Astyanax mexicanus: one gene and its partner. Each later gene encodes a partner of the first gene's protein in a complex. Links are inferred from orthologs where the notes say so. Each region holds a gene or a part of one and is shown on either strand. Other genes may lie near its edges. The genes, in order: kras and mapkap1.

Region 1 (10,303 bases):
AATAGATTAATTTCGATGAATAACATTGATAGAATACTCACTAAAATACGGCGAGGGCGCAGTGAAACATTATCTCCCAGTAGGTGTAAGCACAGATTAATAGATTACACTTGTGCTCTGAGAGCAACAGGTTATTTCTTAGTGCTTAAAAAAATACATCAATTACTCAGACACGTGCTACTGCATACTTAGACCAGGAAGTAAGGAACCAGTGGTGGCTGAAACTAGAAAAACCAGCTCAGTTTTTACACCACCATTATGTTTTCTATTAAGTTGTTTTCTCTTTGGGGTAGGATGATGGCATTTGGAGGTGGGAACAGTGGTAACACAGAATCTCAGCGAGCAACAACCACAAAGTATATCACAAAGCTCTGTAATTCCTATTTAGACTAGTATGTAAGTAATAAACTATGACATCTACACACAAGCAACGCAATGACCATTAAAATGAGTACTGACCTACAGCAGAATATAAATATCATCTTCCTACATTATACAAATATATCTTGACAATATAAGGTTGTGAAAGGTATGACTTTTAATGTATACTACATAATTAACCACAATTTACCTCTATAGTTGGGTCGTATTCATCCACAAAGTGGTTCTGGATGAGCTGGATGGTAAGAGCGCTCTTGCCCACACCTCCAGCACCCACCACCACCAATTTATACTCAGTCATTCTTCACCTGAAATGAACAAAGTACACAAAAACTATAGTCAGTAACATTCAGATTTACCACCAAAAAGCAATGCTTTAGACCCCACATTACATGGTTACCAATTTCTTAATTTTTTAAACTGGTACTTATGTTCAATTTAAGTGTTTACAGTGAGCTACCTTCAGGAGCCTCTGAAAACAGACCAGCTTTTGTAACTTCTTCACTACATTATGTCTTTCCTTTCCATTATAAACTTAAAATGCTGAGCTGTGCTGAATCACATGCACAGTTTACCACAGCACAACGCTCACTGAAAGGTGTCCAATGACTTCAGCAATCATAATTACAGTACTTGAATTTCAGTCGAGAAAGGACGGCTTAAATCATCGAGTAGTTCCCACACAGGTGATTTTTTACTGTGTGTGAGTCACACCAACGCAAACAGAGGTCTGGACTAAAAAAACTAGTCACACCACACTGTCTACAGCACATTTGGGAGTCACCAGCAAAAAAGAAAAAAAAATATTTATACCATTTGACCTTTACTCCAAATGTAATTAATCAGTCTGGACTTATGGGTGGCAGAAAAATGTAGTTGCTAATTTTAGTGCACAATTTGATGTATACATTAATAGAAAAGGCTTACTGTACACACCAAACAAGTCACAGCTGATTGACTACACTTAAGGGTAAAAGTGTAAATTTGACACTTGGGTGAGCCATTCCTTCAATCCAGACTGAGCCAAGAACCTTGGTTTAAGAATAATGTACGCCTTTATCGAAAGTTCTATATTTTTACGTACAGGTTAAAACTAATACTATATCAATATGATTTTCCACTGGACTCTTAAAAAGAGAAAGCAGCACTGACTGGTTTAAACTGTCTCAAACACAGGCCTAATCCTATCTGTATCTGGAGAGTCATCATGTTTGTCAATCATCCATTAAATAATTCCACACTTCCACACAAGATTATGGGAAATAGACAGTGTCTGTTGTGATCAGACTACAATGCACACAGGTCATCATTTGGAGACCAGGCCTTCGTTTTTAACTCTTGAATGACAATGGCTACGATTTTAAGCAACACTTAAAAACCAGCAAAGTCCTACAAACAAAGATGGCTAACCAGAGAAGAACATAAACCCAACACACCACCAACCACTTTTGTGGCCACTTTCAGAAGACAATAGAAAACAACTGTCAAAAACAAAGAAAAAGAAAACAAGGGGTATGTTAAGGGTTCTTTATCTAGCTAGTCAGAAGCTTTTGGTTGTTTCACCATCATCCATCATACAGATGCATGGCAATGTTCCTAAAGCAAGAACAAATTTTGTTTTCAAGAAAGGCATACGGATATCACGTTAAGTCCATTCTAAAGCATTAGACGCAGTAAAAGAACACAAACAGCAATGGAAAAACAGAAAAATCAATTCATTAATAAATAAAGTTAAATTAAGTCTCTGGCAGATACAATCTCAGAACATTGAAAGTAACTACAGCTTTAATCTGGGCCTTTACGTTTAATCGCGCAACATTTGTGAATGAAGAACTTTCCTAAAATCACCAAGAGTTCTAAAGAATCATTCGACTGTCTCCAATTAGATTTGAGACAAAAGGAAAACACTGAATTATTATTAGGAACACAATTTTTAAAGGCTGAGAAACTAATAAGCATAATCTTTCCCTCATTCCAAAACTCTGTTAAATCAAATGTAACAAATAAACGTATAAACCTTTTAGCTCCACTAAACAGAAAGGGAAAATATGACAAAGGTAAAACTTAAGTAAAAAAGTGCATATCTTTGACTTTGTTAGGAATAACTTAGAGGATCTATTAAGAAATAAGGTTTGTGTGTTACGTTTAACTAAGAGTTTATAAGTGTATCCATTTTTTGACTATTCGAGGCTTAATTTGAAATCTGAAATTGAGAGTAAAACCTCATTATTTCATTTTATTCATTTAGTATAGTAAAGCTTTTTTTTTTTGCTTCTCACAATCTGCATATTGTAACAATCAGTTTGGATTACACCATTTTCAATTTAAAAGCCAACAAGGTGAAAATGCATTTTTTAAGATGATACAGAAATAGAAAAAACTTGACGTACTGCCAATTCACTTATATTTTTTTATTTAAGAATTTAGCCTCAAACTGTCCGAAAATAGGCCCGATAAACGGTACACTGGTCAAACAGGGCCTGACTGACTGACTGGGGCGTTCTCGGGTAGCTATGGACGGTAGCTAAGCTAACCAGCTAGCCAGCTTGGCTAGTTAACTAGCTAGGTGGCTAAGCTAACCTACAGCCTCAACAGCTGAGCTAGCTTAGCTAGTTTACCAAAAACAATAGCTTGAGAGTTAGCATTTACAGCACTAAACACAACAGGCTCGAGTTCGGTCGTGCACACTGTAATTAGCCGTTACTGTTTTTTGTTTAGCGTTTCTGTAGCTAGTACCTACCTTCAGTGTTTTAGCTTAGCCGAGTTCCGCGTCCACGAATAATATTAGCCCAGCGTTCGAGCCCACAGCCTACAGTCCGCTCCTCAGACCCGAGCCGGTCATTGCTTCGAGGTTAGGTAGTTAACTAGCTAGCTAGTTTATCTCGATGCTGCGCCTGTGAAGCTGACTAGCTCACTAACCGCCTACCCGAGCCTATTTTCCGCAGCGGGGACTGTGGTGTTTTATTCCTCGGCCTGTTCGCTCGCTCGCTCGCTCCCTGCTCTCGACTGAGCTTCACACACAAAATATGGGCGGATACGGTGTGGCTGAGCGCAGCCCAGCGCTAAGATCACTTACCCAGGGAGCAGTGCACCACAGCACGGGCGGGCTTTCCTGGCTCGTTTCGGTACTTCCTAAAGGCTGGACGACAAGCCTAAAACGTGTACATGAGCTGCGCAGCCCTCTCGACCTGCTACTACTACTAATTCCAAGCCTCAGCTTGCATCTTTCATTCTGCACGCTGCTGCTGCCTTAAGGGCACACTGTGACCAGATCGATATCCCTTCAATAACAGGCGATGCAGAACAATGCAGCTCGACAGGGCGTCATCGGTTCATACTAACTTTTAAAAATAGCTTTTCAGAGCTTTTACAGACAACCCCCTTTAAATCACTGCAGGCTTGTCGGTGCAGCCTAACCAAACGAAGCAAAGCGAAAAGTCAGCACAGTGTTGTAACCGGCTTTTGACAAGCACCATTGTAAGCAGCGGGACGCTGAGTGTAGCCGAGCTTAAATAGGCCCTAAATATAACCGGGGACGTCTTGGACAGACGTCAGCCCCCATGCATGAATCTGATTGGCTGAACGCGCTATCGATCACGAGGCCGTGGGACCAATGCGTGTACCGCAACTGGGTTGTTCTAAAATAGTGTTGTTACTCTGCCTCATGTGGTTTCTTAAATATATCTGATTACTAATAAAATTTAAGATGTGCCATATAAATGAATACATCAAATATATCCAGCTTAATAGTTAGTAATTTGGCATTGTTAAAGTGTTAAACAATTTTGGCAGGTTCATTATATCACTCATAGAACTGGTAAAGTAGTGTTTTTTTTTTATTTTGGGAGCATATATTAATTAGTAGATTTTTAGCATTTTAGTGAATAATATAAATATAAACATACTTGTCAAGTTTTTTTTTTAGATAAAATATCATTTCAGGTGAAATAGTTTTGTTGCCTTTGTAAAACAGATGGAACATTATATTAAACTATAAATTCATCTTCGAAACAACAACAAACAAACTACACTCTATTAAATCTGTTAAAGCGTGTGTGTATATTCTTTTTTAAAATATTAAATATTTGTGTAACTATATTATCATTCTAGCAATATTATTATTTCTGTCTTGGGTACACTATTATATGCATGCACTTATATATATTGAATATAGATTGAATATATATTCAATCGTGTACTACATTCGTTTTCACAAAAAAAACGCACTGGGCCGAAACCTGCCCCTCCCACATGTTTATTAGTCGGACAGATGATGCTTACATTTTTTCAAAATTAGTGGATGAGCTATTTCCAGCTGCCTGAAAAACAACTGGGCTGACGGGGATGTCTCTAGTCAGTCTGAGGAATCCGTGCTGCTCCTTAGGACTGAACACTGAGAGAAGCTTCTGGAAATACTCTTATTGTTTACTCCGTTGAAGTTTCTTTATGTAATAGACCATGTGTAGCTGGTAGTCTCTCCTCGGGCATAAAATATAAATATTCACCATCCGCGTTGATCCATTTTAACTATTTTAAATAACAAAATATAAAACAAAAATATTATTATTATTATTATTATTATTATTATTATTATTATTATTATTATTATTATTATTATTATTATTATTATTATTATTATTTTAAGCACCCATAGCAGTTCCTGTATGAGGCACAGGGTGTCAGTATAAGCATTCACGTAAATCTAGTTAAAGCATAATCGAATATATCTTCATTTTAAATATAACGTATTATTCATCGGAAAGTTAACAGTAAATAGGTGTTGTCATGCAAAAAAGCATCTTTAATAAAGGCAGCTTTACAGTAAAATGAAAAAAAAAAAATCGTAACTGTCAATGTACAGAGGTTTTATATAGGATTTGTCATTTTGGAAAAATTCTATAAGTATATAAATATATATAAAAAAAAAAGCTGCCAGATGTAAATTAAGGAAAAATGGTTAAAACCAGAAAAGAAATAGATATGAGATATGCTGAGAAAACAAAAGCAGAAGAACTGTAAGGTGAAAGCAAAAAGTTGACAAAATTTAAAGATTATTTTAATCAAAATTTGTCTACTATGTACAATTTAAAGTAAAAACAAAAAATAACTCATTTTTTTTTAAATTTTAACTAAAATGTAACCTTGAAGACAAATTAATGTTTCAGATTTATCTTTCTGCCTTTTGAAAATGAGGTCATTTACTCTTTTAGCTTCAGTAACCAATATTTTGCCCAGGGGTAACAAAATTTTGCATATGTACTGATTAGCCAAGCCAGGTATTGGATTGGATTACAACCTAATAATAAAGAAGTGAAAATTAGTATGTGCCTGAGACCTGACTGCATACTAAGTTTTGCAGCAATTTGGGTGGTGTGATTTCTCACCAAAATGCACACTAACCAAAAGACCTAAGCTGTGTTTAAAAATGTGCACCCTATTACAGAAATTGTGCGCTATAGGGTGTGCTGTTTAAAATATTACAGTTAACAATTTTCTTCCCTGTATAGTTCACTATTAAACACTCGAAATGCAACGCGTAAAAATAACTAGCTAATTATTGTGATATTATTTTAGTTTTTTTTATTTGAGTGAATGTGTTTAAGGTCCAAATATTAAAAAAAAAAAACATAAACTAGTAACAAAACTGACTTTAGCATCTGATATGTCCTGTTGTTGGAGTGGGAAGATCTGGATAAGGTTGTGCAATCTTATTCGTAAACAGAGAGTGGGCTGCAGTGGGGGCTTCATGCTCTCACGTAACAAACAGCCTGTGAGACTTAAAACTTACATAGCTAGCTGCATTTCCTAATTTAAACACACACACACACACATTATTTTTTCCAGCATGGCCCATGGCTGTAAATGATAAATCAGTACACCCACAGCAGCGTTAAAGATGTAGTTTTAAGGGGCAGAGATTTTTCTGTGCTGGGTCTCTGACTCTCGAGTGTGTCTTTAAAAGAGTCCAGCATGCTTTGCGCTGTGTCCATTCCCGTGCTGAGGGGCTGTGGGGGTGTTTTCCCCTCTCGCTGCCTCTCTGAGCTGCTCGCAGTGAAAACTTCCCCCCCTGCGGGACAGAAAGAGAGAGAGACTATCTGACTGCAGCGCTCCGCACTCCACTCTCACTCCAGCCGCTCCTCTGCTGCAGGAAACACTCCCAGCTTTTCTCCTCCTGCTGCTGCTGTAGAGCAGTTCAGACGGATATCCCGCTCCGGATAGACAGAGAGAGAGAGAGCTGTGCTCTGTAGAATGAACAGCGCGCTTTCTCCAGGAGAAAACTTCAGAGGAGGTCGCCAGCGGACAGTCCGAGCAGTCTGAGGAGGAGCAGAGCTGCGTGTTTACAGTATTAAGGTAAGAATACACTACCCCGTCTTGTGTCTCTCACAGCTATTACCAGTTTTAACCTGGACAAAACACGAAAAAAACGAGAAGAATCGAAAACAAACTTACTGAACCGTTTTAAAAACAACATCACTGGATTTATACTGAGTCTAAATCTTACCAGTTTCTAAAGTTTACCCGCCTCACTGTTTCACACTGTATAATCTGAAGTCAGTGTAGTTTAACTGACCTCACTGATTCACTAGTTTAGTTTAGTGCTCATTTATTGACTTCAGTATGGAAAAAAACAGTTGACAGTCTGAATTTACCCTCACTAAACAGCTTCATGTTTTACTGTTGAACGAAAGGAGTGACCTACAAGATGAGAACAGGGGAGTGACATAGCTTAGTTAACTAATAAGAAAAGAAGGAGTGACACAAGGAGTCAGAAAATATAGCTTAAAGAAAGAAATGACATTAGGAGTGATATATAAAATAGTGAGATATTATAAAGAAGTGAGATGTTTAAGGGGGAAAAAACGCAAAAAAAAAACTGCATGGGATATAATAGGGCTGGGAGGTTATTTACTGATTAAATGCAACTTTTTTTCAAAATTGGATAATCAAGATTGCACATCTTTATATATAGAGGAAATCTCAGTAGATAAACATTATCTTCCTTCAGAAACCTGTAAAGAACTCTTGTGGCACCTCATTTAGGATCAAAGCTAAATCAAAGGTAAAGAAAACAATAGCTTGCACATCACTTTAAATTGTGCTGTCTGTTTCCATTTGATGTCATGTAAGAACTAAAATCATAATCAAGGATCACTCTCTTTTAAAAAAAAAACAGCCCCAAAATAAAAAATATTTGGCATAAGTAGAGAGTATGTAAGGGATGCCCTAGGATACAAGGGAAAAGGTGTGACCCATGGAGTGAGATAAAATGAGTGATATAAGTAGAGTGAGAAAAAAGAGCAAATTTGATTCACATAAAGGAAAGGGATATACGTAGTGAAATAAAAACAAATGCTGGCACAAGGGTTGTGACAAAATAAGTGAGGTGTAAGGATTGTCCCCTAAGGTCTGAAAGAAAAAGGGGAGACCCGTGTAGGGTTACAAAAAAGGTGTGAGGTGTGCCCTAAAGAAAAATAACATAAGGAGTGCAGTACAAGAACAGTAATATAAGGAGTTACATATGGAGTGATAAAAGAAGTGCCACTGAATGAGATACAGGATGTGCCAAAGTAAGTAAAAAGGTAATATAATTAGTGAAAATAGTATCATAATGAGTGTGACAAATGGAGTGCAGTACAAGCAATGAGAGTGGCGAGGAGTCCAATAAAGAAATTGCTGAAGGGAGTGAAAAGATGTGATGAAAATAGTGCTACAAGCAGTGAGACAAAGAAATTGCATAAGGGGTGTAACTAAAGGATTGAGGTACAAGGGCTGCCCCAAGGAATGAGAGAGAGGAGTGACCCATGGAGTACGATATAAGGGGGGCAAAAAGGGTGAGAACAAGTAGTGACATAATGTGTAATTAAAGGTGCATGATAAAAGGAATGACATAAGAGTGAAACAGTGTTATAAAGAGTGACATAAGGAGTGAGACAACAGGGAGGATTGTATTGTATTTTTTTGCTCTTGAATCTTTTAATTGTTTACTTGTTAGAGAACATTAGTTTTTAACATGAGTTCATGATTGTTGACTGATTAGGTGTGCAATATGTTACAGTTTTATACAAGATATATTACTATATGTTACAATACACCAGATATAAAAATGGCCATATTTTATTATTACGCCTGCTGCACAGGGTACCATATTTTTGCAATTTAACTCATACTTTGGTTGTTGGGATGCCAGTGGTTAGGGTTCTGAAGGAATTACATTTAACATAGTACAGTCTTGTGCAAATTATGTCGTAAAACATTGTGATTTAAGGAACAGCATGATGACTTTATTTTTTACTATATCAGACAACATAATTTAGTGCTGTTTGTGCAGTCTGACATACCACAAAGAGTGCAGTTGTGTTATATTTAAAACTAAATTTATATATATTTCTTAGATACACCGTTAGGTTCTTCACTGTTAATATCTACAATGTGTTTTTGGTGTAAAAAAAAAACCAATGCTGACAATTTACTATTATATTCTGTTATAATATTCATCATGTATCATATCGCCTATCACCATTTCTTATTTTTAGTTATATCGCTCAGTTCTCTGATTGCTAGGCTGTGTCTGGCTCTGATATCTAGTCAGTCCTGTTATTTTTTGAGAATTCTGAGGTGCTCTCAAAAACATATGAGTTTTATGAGTTACTGCTTAGAGAGATGAGATCAGAGAATATAAATATTAACCATATGGACAAACCTAGCACCTTAACGCTTCATCCAACAGCACTGTTTCTCCAGAAGGCTGGTGCTTTAAAACTTGCCTGCCATTCACTATCATGGCAAATGAACAAAGGCGGCATTATATCCAGCTAAACGTGCCATCCAGATGTTAGCTGGTCTGCCAGTTCTGACCTCCTAACTTGGGGGGGAGGCTATTCTTGAGTTTATTAAAACATCCTAGCCAAGACGGGATTCCAGAAACTCTGAAAAAGGTTTACAAGAGCCAAGGCAGAGCTCTGCGGTTTAATACCACAGAAGGTGAGCTGGCCTTGCCTGGAAAAGACTTCTGTTTAAAATGGCTTTTGCAAGATATAGGGGGAGGGGTTGTGTTTCATTTGTATTTGTAAAAAATTATTTCATCTGATAGTGGTCAGATTTTCTAATGCATAAAGTCAGCACTGAATCACCATCACACAGTTACAAGCTTTACATTTCCATACTTAAAATATTTATATTCATTTGACCTAAAATTAAAATCTAATGTCATAATGTTTTGTGATGCTATCAGTGATACTAAGTTCTTCATTTTCAAAGCAGTGTATTCTCTGGCAGGACAAATAAGAAGTGTTGCTGGCTTTCTCCATGCTTTATTTTGGCCTTTGGCCTTAATGTCCTGCTCCATTGGGCGTTTTTTTATGCACTAGATTTTCAGATTTCACACTGAACGTGCCTCGTACTGCTCTAACTTAGCTTTCTCTCCCTGAAACCCAAAACCCCTCAGGCTATTGTTTTTACAGGGATGTGTGAGGAGAACTGTTTTCCTTCCCCTCTCCTGTCAGACAGGAGGTTTGTTGGGGACGCTGCACTTGCTTGTTTAAGACACATGGAGAGGTCACTGCCGTTCATTTTTTCTCTCTCAGTCACTCACTCTGCTCTTCTGGAACGGATCATACTTTTATAATAGAGTTAAAGTGTATTTTGTTTATTGACCTCTGCTGACCACAACACAATTCTCAGTGTGGAATTAACGCCTTCAAAGGTCATTCATGTCCACTGACGCACAAAAGAACACTGCTGGAGATCATTCAGGACTGAGGATTGTGCTGTGTTGTTGAGTCAGGTCAGAAGTGTGGTACAGTAATCCTTGTGTACAAATAAAGAGTGGATTTGTGCTTTATTAGTGTTAATTTCCTCAAGTAGTATACACTGAACTGTGTGTCTGGATTTATATACTGTAAATAATTTATGTGGTTAAGCC
Region 2 (10,676 bases), on another chromosome or scaffold:
GTATATATTTATTATATGAGTGTGATGAATATGCAAAAAAAGAAGAAGAGATCAGAAGAGGAAAGTACTTTTTCACAGTATGGCTGTGCCTGTATGCTATTTTAATTCACTGTGCAGCATTTAAGTTAGATGTCAAATGAGAGAAGTCTGGTTTTAACCATGTCAGAGGAGAAGAAGAGGCGTTTAGTGTAGTGAGAAATGAGAACCGAGATGCACTGATAACAATACTGAAAGCAACCGTAGAATCATAATAATATCAAATGTAATCATTATAAGCACTGAACAGATTAGTTTAACAGTTTTCAAACAGATATTTATTGATATTGTAAGAGATTGTATTGTTTTGATTGTTGTGTGATATCATTGTTATTGTGGGCTATATCTCATCATAATGTATCGTGAAATGTCCTGTGATTCCCACCTCCCTAATTCAAGGCTACAGTGCCTACTATATTTGCAGTTTATTTAGTTTACTGTATTTAAACATCTATAGAAATAATTGCTATAGTTTTCTTTGATGTTAATCCAGGTAGATAAAGCCCCAGTTTCCAGATTTTAGAAATGTTTATACATCAGCATTGATATATGAGATATACAATTTATTTGGCCTTAATTCAAGAAATGTTGAGGCTATTTCAAATGGCGGCATTATGGAGAATTTACTATTACTTTTTTCTAGGACTCCCCCACAAACAGCAAGTGTAATTAGCTCTCTGAGCCTGTCTTAAAGGACACACTTTACACATGTATTCTTGGACAAGCAGTGAGATCAAATAATCAGATTGTATATGCCAGATATGGTCTAAGGCCAGAGTGGAAACAACCGAAGCTTTATTCTCTCTGTTGGTGCTTTAAAGTTTGGTTCTCAGTAATGCACAATGCACAAAAAAAAGAAAAAACTATTTGTATCAGTGCATCTCTGAGACAGAGGCAAAAGTTTTATTATGATTTAGCAGGATATTAGGCTTAATCATGCCATCCACATAGACTGATTCATAGCAGTAAGTCAATCTGAGCAAGTTTATTTCTTATTTAGTCACACCAAGCTATTCAACATACACACAAAACCAGCATTAACCCACACCCAAATCAACTTGAGATTAATTATTGATTGCAAGGAAATAAACCATCATTATCCGGAGGGAGGAGCATGATTACTCAGTTTACAACAAAAATAAATGCCAACATTATGACACTAATTTGCAAGAGATTTCATTAATGTATTTTACCTATTATCCTCAATTCCCTTTAACCAGCATCAACTTGTATCAAAGCACACCAACAATGTTTCCCCAATGTTACCCATATGCCAATGCCCTAGATTCAGGACCCAGCACACTCTGACTATCTACACAGCCGCTTACCTGTGTTGGAGCGCCGACGGATTCCAAAGTCCCAGCTGGACGTGATGTCCATCGATTGAGAGAGGTCACAGGCCTGACCGTCTCCACTAACACTCCCATCCCCTAACACCCCCCCCATTGATACACTGCCAGTAGACACGGCAGCCGAATGGCACTTCTCTAAGTCCACGTCATGATCAATCAGCACCATCTCACACATGCCCGAGTCATCACTGGTTACATGGGATTGCCGGATGTGGGCCAGTATGATGGTGGGGTTGTCAAGGAAAGCCATCCTGTGTGGCAACTCCTGCTGCCACCCTCCACTCCTCACGCGCTCCTGTTCACGTGGGGGATTCTCTGGCACTTAACTGAGATCTGAGGCTGCTCCTTCTTCAACAGTGACACCCTCTTCCTTTTGGGTTTGATTGTTGCTCTCTGTGGTGGAGCATGTGTGCCTGCCTGCGAAAAAGAAAAATATTCAACATTTAATTTTATGAAATGTTCATACTTATTATAAATGCCCAATTTTAGTTCGGGTCATCCGACACTAGCTGCTTTATAAAAAAAAAAAGAAAAAAAAAAGTATGAAGATGGGCATCATACCTATTGGTAGACACTTACCCCTAGCCATTATTAAATGTGCATTATTAACAAAGAAGCTTGTCATATTCTATTATGATCTGTGTTCAAAATGTCAAAGGATCATTATCTTAATGCTCAAGTGATGCCAAGTTTGTTCTTCTTCAAGAATACATGACACAAGAGTTGTCATTATAATACTTTAGAAAAACTTTAGCCAAGCGATTTGGGGAGCTAAGGCTTATGAACATTCCATTGTATTACTCCACACTTTTTACAAAGGTTGTGAAAGGTCAGATCAGATAACCTTAAAGGTCAAGTCAACTTCTGGTTTTCAGATGCTAAAAACAGAAATCCAACACTTCTAGCACTGAATCACAACCATAGTTTGTTATAAACAATGCAAAGCACTCAAAATAGAATAGAATACAATGCAGGTAACTGGCACTTGTTGAACTACAAAAAATAAAGCAGCATTACAGTACTTTTACATCACTGCCAAAAAACAAATGCACACTTCAAGCATAACTTAAAAACTGATAGACACAGCCCAAATTTCTGAGGCAAAATATCATCCAGAACTAGCAAGCCAGAATAAGAGCATATTTTGGAGTCAATATATATTAATATAATTATTATAAACATTCATAACCCAATAATTCAGTTTTGAAAGCAAACAAATATTAATTAATTATTAAAACTTGTTTAACTAAAACTTGGAAAATGTGCACACAACAGATGATGCACTCTTACAACAGCTCACGCCCAGAGACAACATGACAACAAGCGTTAGCTAGCCTAGCTAGCAGCTGTTAGCTTAAAATACATATGCAAGTTCACAGGCTTGCTTTAACTAAGAGCCCAGTGGTTAGCTGGCTATCTTTATTTTGTATTTTTATTACATTTAACGTTATTGTCTTTATTAACAGTTTTTTTAGCCTTGTTCCTAATACTGCTAAGATTAGAAAGCTAAAACAGCAGGCTGGCTAGCTAGCTTTGCTAACTAGCTACTAGGCAAACAGCTGAATGTGAAACTGAATGTAGCTAACTGAACTCATCAGTTGGTGTGTGTTAACGTTTGATCTACACGTTTGTCCAGTTTCCCAGCTGAACGTCCCCTCAACTTTTTTAACCTACAGGTCCAACATGCACACAAACAAATGTAGCGAGCTAATGCGGGTAAGTTAGCTAGCTTTGGGACAAATAGCAAGATGTGAGACTGTGCTAGCGCTGGGTGGTTAGCTAGAGTTAGTTAGCTAGCTTATCGGGGTGTTTAGAAGACCAGGCCGAGGAAGTAGAAAGCAAACAAAGGGTTTTGTACCTAGATAACTAACTATCTAACTTAACTAACTACTAACTGCCTGAATAACTCTGTGTATAGTTGAGGCAGCTGGTAACCTAGCTAGTTAGCTTACAAAATCCTGGGAAGGAGTTTTAGCTACTTCACTCAAAACTTAAGGTTAACTAGCTAGATAACTAGATATACAGCTAAACAACACACTGGTTAGAAAGATAGGGTTAACTAAGTTAACCCACGCTAGCGTTAAATAACAACTGCTAGCAAACAACGCTATTTTATCTACATCAAGCCTACACCAAGCCAAGCCACTAGATGAGCTAGTTAGCTAGTTCATCTTTTTTTGTAAACAAATGTTAGCTATGGCTGCCTAGTTACGGCTTAAAACACAGCTACTAGCTAACCTAGCTAGGTTAGCTAATGCTAGTTTTAAGTTAACAGGGCTTGGTCTTATGCTATTTAGCAAACTAGCTAGCTAACGGTAGCTATATTAACTTGTGTACTGACCCAGCATTGCTAGCTAGATACCAACTGCCTGGATGACTGTGTACAGTTGAGGCAGCTGGTAACCTAGCTGTTATAGCTTACAGGAGTTTTAGCTACTTTTGACATGGATTTGGCAGCTAAGTTTCTTTTGGGGTAAAGGTTAACTAGCTAGCTAACTGCATATAACTACAGATAAACATATATGTTAGCTACACAACACATTAGTTACATGGTTAGGGTTAACTAACTTAACCCTGCTAATCACGTTAAATAACAGCTGCTAGCTAGCTAGGTTATTTACACCAAGCCTCCAGCAGAACCGCCCAGTAAGTTGTAGTTAACTAACCAAAAGGTAGGTAAGGGTATCTATTAACAAAGTCCTGGGATGTTTTTGTAGCGTAGGTAACCCATGTAACTTAACTTAACGTTACTCTGTGGACCTGGATTAGTTAGCTTATTTACCCATATTTAGAAGAGGAACACGCTCACACAAAGCCACTAGATTAGCTAATCTAGCTAGCTAGCTAGCTACTAAAATTGCTGACATTTTTTGGTAAACAAATGTTAGCTATGGCTGCCTAGTTACAGCTTAAAACACAGCCACTAGCTAGCTAGGATTGCTAGCTAGCTTCTAGATAACAGGGCTTGGTCTAACGCTATTTGGCAAGCCTATCTAGCTAGCTACTTGTCTACTGACCAAGCCTAGCTAGCTAGCCAGTTAGCTAGCTAAACAAACCAATGTTAGCTAACGTAGATTACCTTCATGCATTCCCAGACCGACTGCTGAATATATCCACACTCTGTAACAGCAGGAGTACAGCCATAGCTGCTAAACGCCTCGTCCCATCGCCTCTCATGTGTATCATATACTCTCAGTAATAATACAGCATTTCCTCTGTTGTTATCACAGCTAATGGTAGGGGCTAGCTATTTCCGTCAAGTTTACCCTCGTACAGGAAGTGTAATGCATCAACGAGACGCGCAGGAACGCCCTCTGGGGAGCACGAGAAAAGCCCACCCTACTGTACTGTACTGTACTGTAGCTACTTCACTACACACTACTGAAGTGTACAGTAAGCTTGCTGCACTGCACTGCTGCTGATAGTGATGTAACAGTGCTGCACGTGGGCTCCACTTCTCATTTGATGTTTTCTTTCATTTTATGCTCATTCCAATGTCCAGCTCATCATAAATCACCCATCTCAGTTATGTTTAGGTCCAGAGACTGTGGAGGACAAACACCTTTTTCATTTCTTTAATATTAATATACAATGTAGAAAATACATGAAATAAAGAAATTAAAAAAACATATTCAGTGTCCAAAGTTTTAACTGGTAGCTACTCAACACTACTCTCTCAACACTGATAGCTGTCTAAAATGTATGCAGCTCTTGGAAAATAAGAGACCACGTCAGTTTCTGAATATGTTTCTCTGATTTTGCTATTTATAGGTAAATGTTTGAGTAAAATGAACGTTGTTGCTTTATTCTATAAACTACAGACAACATTTCTCCCAAATTCCAAATAAAAATATTGTCATTTAGAGCATTTGCAGAAAATTAGAAATGGCTGTAATAACAAAAAAGATGCAGAGCTTTCAGACCTCAAATAATGCAAAGAAAACAAGTTCATATTCATAAAATTTTCAGAAATTCAGAAATCAATATTTGGTAGAATAACCCTGGTTTTTAATCACAGTTTTTTGCATCCTTGCATGTTCTCCACCTACAGTTATTAAACAAATGGCACCCATTAAATCCCCATTAAAACCTAAATTAAATCTCTTTTAAAATAATTTAAATCATTTGAAGTAAACAATCATATTTTTACATTTATTAACTTAAATTATTCACTTTATTTTGATAGTTTTGCATATGTGCATACAATTTTGTTTCACAGTCAAGATTTCCTATGATGGCTGAAATAAGTCATTGCATTTATTTAGCTATTTTTGTTTTATTATTCCCTAATATTTAAATAATAACAGAAAATATACACATATAAACTGTTTAGACCACAAAACAGGCTAAATACAAGGCAGGAATAATGTTCCATGTAATGTTCCATAATTATTATTTGGATGTTAAAAACTCAAAAACTGAGTTTGAAAATCATGGTTAGTCCTGGCAAATCTTACAATTGACTTCAAAAACAGATATTACATGAATTGAAAGATATTATGTGAAAGCATATAATTTTTTTTTTTACTTCCCATGGTTACTTTTGAACTCGCCTCATCTGTAGAGCCGCTGAATGGACAGCAGAGGGTGCTGTTGCTTTAAGCTACTACAGCGCCTTGCACAGGCTCATGTGTCTGGATTACAAGTGACATTTGTGATGGGTCAGGTTTATTTTACAGATTGTCTGTTTGACTGTTTGACAGATCTGTATTAATATATCAAATATGTTATTTCTAATCCGAACAAAAAGCCTGAATAGTGTTATATGCATAAAAAAATAAAATATATTCACAGAAAAATAATTATTTAACTCTATTTTAATAAACTTCTTTAGCTAAGTCTGCTATGTTCTGGTCTGATCATAAACTGTGGGCTTTTAGACATATTTCTGATTAGATATGTGCTTTTTGAGGGCTTCTCACTACTGTGTGTTACATCATAGTTTTCTATATCACCAATTCACCCGCAGAGGAACTACCATCACCATGCTTTATGTCCAGTCCAAACCTAACAGTCCTCATTCAGTTCATCAAAAACTTGTGAAGGCAGTTATTGTGAGGGTGGAACAGGTGGAATAGGTTTCGAGAGGGCTGTGTTTGGTGGCAGGGGTGGAAAAGTCAGAAGCAATACGTTCTGCAATTAAAAAATATATTGTGGAGCCACACTATCATTCAGTGAAAGTCAGAAATCGTGGACATTTATTTATTATTTATTTTGTGACTGATGAATTGTAGATTAATATTACACCAGGATAAATAGCTTTTTTTATGAACAATGTCATTTTGCAATGATCTGATGTTCTTTGTGTTTTTTTAAGTAGAAACAATATGATTAAATGCTTGGAAACTTAACTCAATAACACGAGAAAAAGAGGAAAATCTAATTTTGTCTCTCAGGTGTAAAGAGTAATTAGGATGAGGTATTGTTTTCTCTTGGATATTTATTTGAATAAATGTTTCTAATAAAACAAATACCCAAGTATTGTGTCAAATGTCTAAAATAATCCTGTAAAATATAGAATTGGAGGTACAATCATTCAAGTGTAGAACTACAATAAATTGCATCCTTAGGTTTGTTTCTTGTGTGATCTTCTCAGACCTGTACTGATCAGATGTTTCCTGGCAGTGAGTATAAAATATATTACCCTGCTCAGGAGCTGCTCAGAGGACAATATCACTCTATACACACTCTCAACACTACACTGGTGTGACACAGTGGTGAGTACATTTATGATATCTTAATGCTGTTAGATCTCTCCACTGTGAACTCCAGCTGAGTTCAGCTTTATCTGAGCCGGCTTCTGCAGATCTCATTTACACCGTTTAACACAGTAAATATTCCCAGAGGAAAGAATGGTTCCAAATGAGGAGCTCCTCTTAATCTGATTTACTCCTCCCAGATTTTGTTAACTCCTGTTTTAAATCAGTGGGGGACAATTTCTTTTTCTGGTCGGCTCTTGAGAAACAGCCTGTTTTTCACTTTGATCACAAACTTGTCTCAGATATTTCCAACTGATCTCACTCCGACTCAGACAAATAAAACTATTAGATGTATTCCTGTATAACGGAAATAGAGCAGGGTCCTGTATAAACTGGCATGCCAAAAATCATGTGATGGGCATAATGTATATATATTTGTATAAGTTGTGAGGTCTCATCTTGTAAGTGAGGTTGAACACTGACCAGTGTGCTTGTGGGAGGATGGATAGGTCAGTGTAACATTGTTTATTCAATATTCATTTTAAACACCATTATGAAATAGCAACCTGTTTGCTGTTTTTGATTTTTTAAACAAGAAATCAGTGTCAAGTCAAGTCAAGTAGTTTTATTGTCAATACTGCATATGTACACTACATACAAAGAATTGAAATGATGTTACTCTCCTTCCCAATTTTACAGCAAGTACAGATAATAGATATAATAAAAGAGAATGGGAGACACTATGGGTACAATACAGCAGGGACACAAATATACATACATGAGACAAAAACAAGGTGCAGTGGTGTGGGGGAGAAATAGATATATAAATATAAGTAAAAAAAAGAAATAGATATATAATATAAAAGAGACATTATATGTACAATACAACAAGACACAATAAACATACGGAAGACGGAAGACAATAGTGCAATATTGGTGGTGATTGAGATGGAATGACAGTATAAATAGTATATAACAGTAGTGCAATATTTTATATTGCAAATATGGTATATGGTCACATGTGTAACAAGGGACCAGCGAAGTCTGGCTAGAATGGTAAAAAATAAGAGCCCACTTAAAAATGATGAGTTTCTTCTATTTTACCACATTTAAAAACCTCAGGAATATAATCAAAATATAAACCAATGTGAACTGCTTGAATTTTTGCAACAGAAGTGGCATAAAATTATCCAAAAGCAGTGTGTAAAACTGGTGGAGGAGAAAATGCCAAGATGCATTAAAACTGTGATTAAAATCCAGGGTTATTCCACCAATTATTGATTTCTGAAATCTTAGAACTTTATGAATATGAACTTATTTTCTTTGCATTATTTTGAATTTAGGTCTGAAAGCACTGCATCTTTTTTGTTATTTCAGCCATTTCAAATTTTCTGCATATACATGCTCCAAATTACAATATTTTTACTTGGAATTTGGGAGAAATGTTGTTCGTAGTTTATAGAATAAAACAACAATGTTCATTTTACTCAAACATATAATTATAAGTAGCAAAATCAGAGAAACTGATTCCGAAACTGAAGCAGTCTCTCTATGTTTTCCAGAGCTGTATATGCTTCAGGTCAGTGCAGTGTTCTTTAGCTTCCATAGGACATGGCTAAAGTAAAGAGGTACAGAACTAGTCCTATGAAATTTGGCACTTGCTAATTGATTGTTTGTTCTGAAATCGTAAGTTTATAAAAAGAGTTTTTTCATGCTTTTGTTGGATTGCCTCTACTCTCTACTGTCCAGGGAAGGATTTCTATTATATATATATTTTTTAATATTGCTGTGATGATTTTGTTGAATTCAGTGACTAGAGCTTTAGTGAGGTCAGTACCTTGGATGATCTCAACCTGATTCCAACTCATCTTCAACTCCCCAAAATTATCCCAGATGTTTTGGATGGAGCACCATCATTCAATGCTTGAGGGCTTTATACCCTTCTAACCACGTACTCAATCATGGGATTAGGCATTGTTAAGCCAGGAGGTTCACATTTACAGTTCTTATCTGGGGTGCTGTTAACTTGTGGTTGCTAAGGCTGGTAACTCTGATGAACTTATCCTGTGCCACAGAGATAACTCTTGCTCTTCCTTTCCTGTGGCAGTCCTGATTAGAGCCAGTTTCATCATAACATTTTTGATGATCTTTGTGACTGCACTAGAGGATACTTTAGTTTTTTCTTGATATAATATGGATTAAAACATTAATCAAATACTGCATACCAACTCTACCTCTTCACAACTTTACAACTGATGCTCTCAAACACTTTAAGAGGACAAGAAATTCTAATAATTAACTCCTGAAAGGTTCAGCACAGCTGTTAACTGAAAGCCTGAATTTCAGGTGACTCTACCTCATAAAACTGACTGAGAAAATCCACCCAAGATGTGCAAAACTGTCATCTATGCAGGAGGTGCCTATACTTTTAAAATAAATCAGCATTGATGATGGTAGAGTCTGACCACTGCACAAAGTCTTCTCCAGCACATCCCAAAGATTCTCAATGAGGTTAAGATCTGGACTCTGTGGTGAACTCTCAATCCATGTGTGAAAATGATGATCTCATACTCCCTGAACCACTCTTTCACAATTCCAGCCCCATGAATCTTGACATTGTTATCTTGGAATATGCCCGTCCCATCAGGGAAGAAAAAAATCCATTGATGGAATAACCTGGTCTATATTCAGTATAATTATTCAGGTAGTCAGCTGACCTCATTCTTTCAGCACATACTGTTGTTGAATCTAGACCTGACCAACTGCAGCATCAACCCCACATTATTTACTTATTTAAATCCAGGTGGAGTCTTTTTTTGGCCAGAGGGTGTAATTTCATAAGTTTTTCTTCATAGTTTGGATAATCTTGGTTCTATGAATGTAGAACTTCTAGGTTCTGTACATTCATTTAATCATTGAATTGGTGTTTTGTTGGTCAGTATTTGTGGTTTGTTGAAATGCTGTAGTGTTGGGTTTAGGAGCTGGATTGCTGGAATGGGTAGACGAACTCTTATATGTATTCAACCACAAGGGGGCGGAGCCTTCTACGTCCATCAACCATCTAACACAGAGAGAGCAGCCCGCGCAGATCGAGCAACAGTGAGACTGGGGTCTTCACCCAGCGAGCTCATACAGCTTCATATCTCCAGATATACACGGAGGATGAGACCAGCTTTATTTCCTGTTAATGGAAAGAGAGAATCCAGTGGGAAGAAGAGTAGAAGAGCCTGCTTTTCATGATCATTCCATTTATTCCACCCATTTCATCCGTTCTGTTGCGCTTGAGCTGGAAAGAGGGAATGGAAATATTTGTTTTTGGGATGCTGGTCTTCTCGGAGATGTATCTGAAGATGGATTTCTTTGCTTGAGTTCCGTGGAGGGAGTGTTTGAGGCGAACTGACCGAACAAAAGGATACATTCTTCACCAAGCAGCCTAATTAAACCTGGGGCAAAGTTTAGAATCTTACAGAACTATCTAAAGCTACCTGATTATTATTGCTGCATGGTTCTCTGTCCTTCTCCACGCGCTACCCATTGGATAGAAAAGAAGAAAAGAGCTTTGGAGAATCGTTTACGCACGGGACGCCCA

The links.
Region 2: the proteins of kras (region 1) and mapkap1 are in contact, whole or in part, in a crystal structure (PDB 7LC1), measured with the Homo sapiens proteins. The link is inferred for Astyanax mexicanus from reciprocal best matches to the Homo sapiens genes KRAS and MAPKAP1. Residues at the interface, in NP_001356715.1 of Homo sapiens: Ile21, His27, Val29, Glu31, Asp33, Pro34, Ile36, Glu37, Asp38, Ser39, Tyr40, Arg41, Leu56, Glu62, Glu63, Tyr64, Ser65, Ala66, Met67, Asp69, Gln70; in NP_001006618.1 of Homo sapiens: Phe280, His287, Gly288, Phe289, Ser290, Leu291, Ile292, Gln293, Lys307, Lys310, Arg311, Arg312, Lys313, Gly314, Ser315, Phe363, Glu365, Ile369, Val374, Met377, Leu378, Ser380, His381, Tyr484, Glu487, Ser488.

What each region holds. Positions count from the first base shown.
Region 1 is NC_064409.1:62,222,013-62,232,315, reverse strand, and holds the start of kras (GTPase KRas), read right to left. Parts: upstream 3,883-10,303; 5' UTR 3,458-3,882; intron 3,452-3,457; exon of another isoform or gene 3,122-3,451; intron 690-3,121; 5' UTR 683-689; coding exon 572-682; intron 1-571. UniProt on the Homo sapiens protein: Ras proteins bind GDP/GTP and possess intrinsic GTPase activity. Plays an important role in the regulation of cell proliferation.
Region 2 is NC_064408.1:21,738,696-21,749,371, forward strand, and holds the start of mapkap1 (target of rapamycin complex 2 subunit MAPKAP1), read right to left. Parts: upstream 4,801-10,676; 5' UTR 4,468-4,800; intron 1,806-4,467; 5' UTR 1,639-1,805; coding exon 1,365-1,638; intron 1-1,364. UniProt on the Homo sapiens protein: Component of the mechanistic target of rapamycin complex 2 (mTORC2), which transduces signals from growth factors to pathways involved in proliferation, cytoskeletal organization, lipogenesis and anabolic output.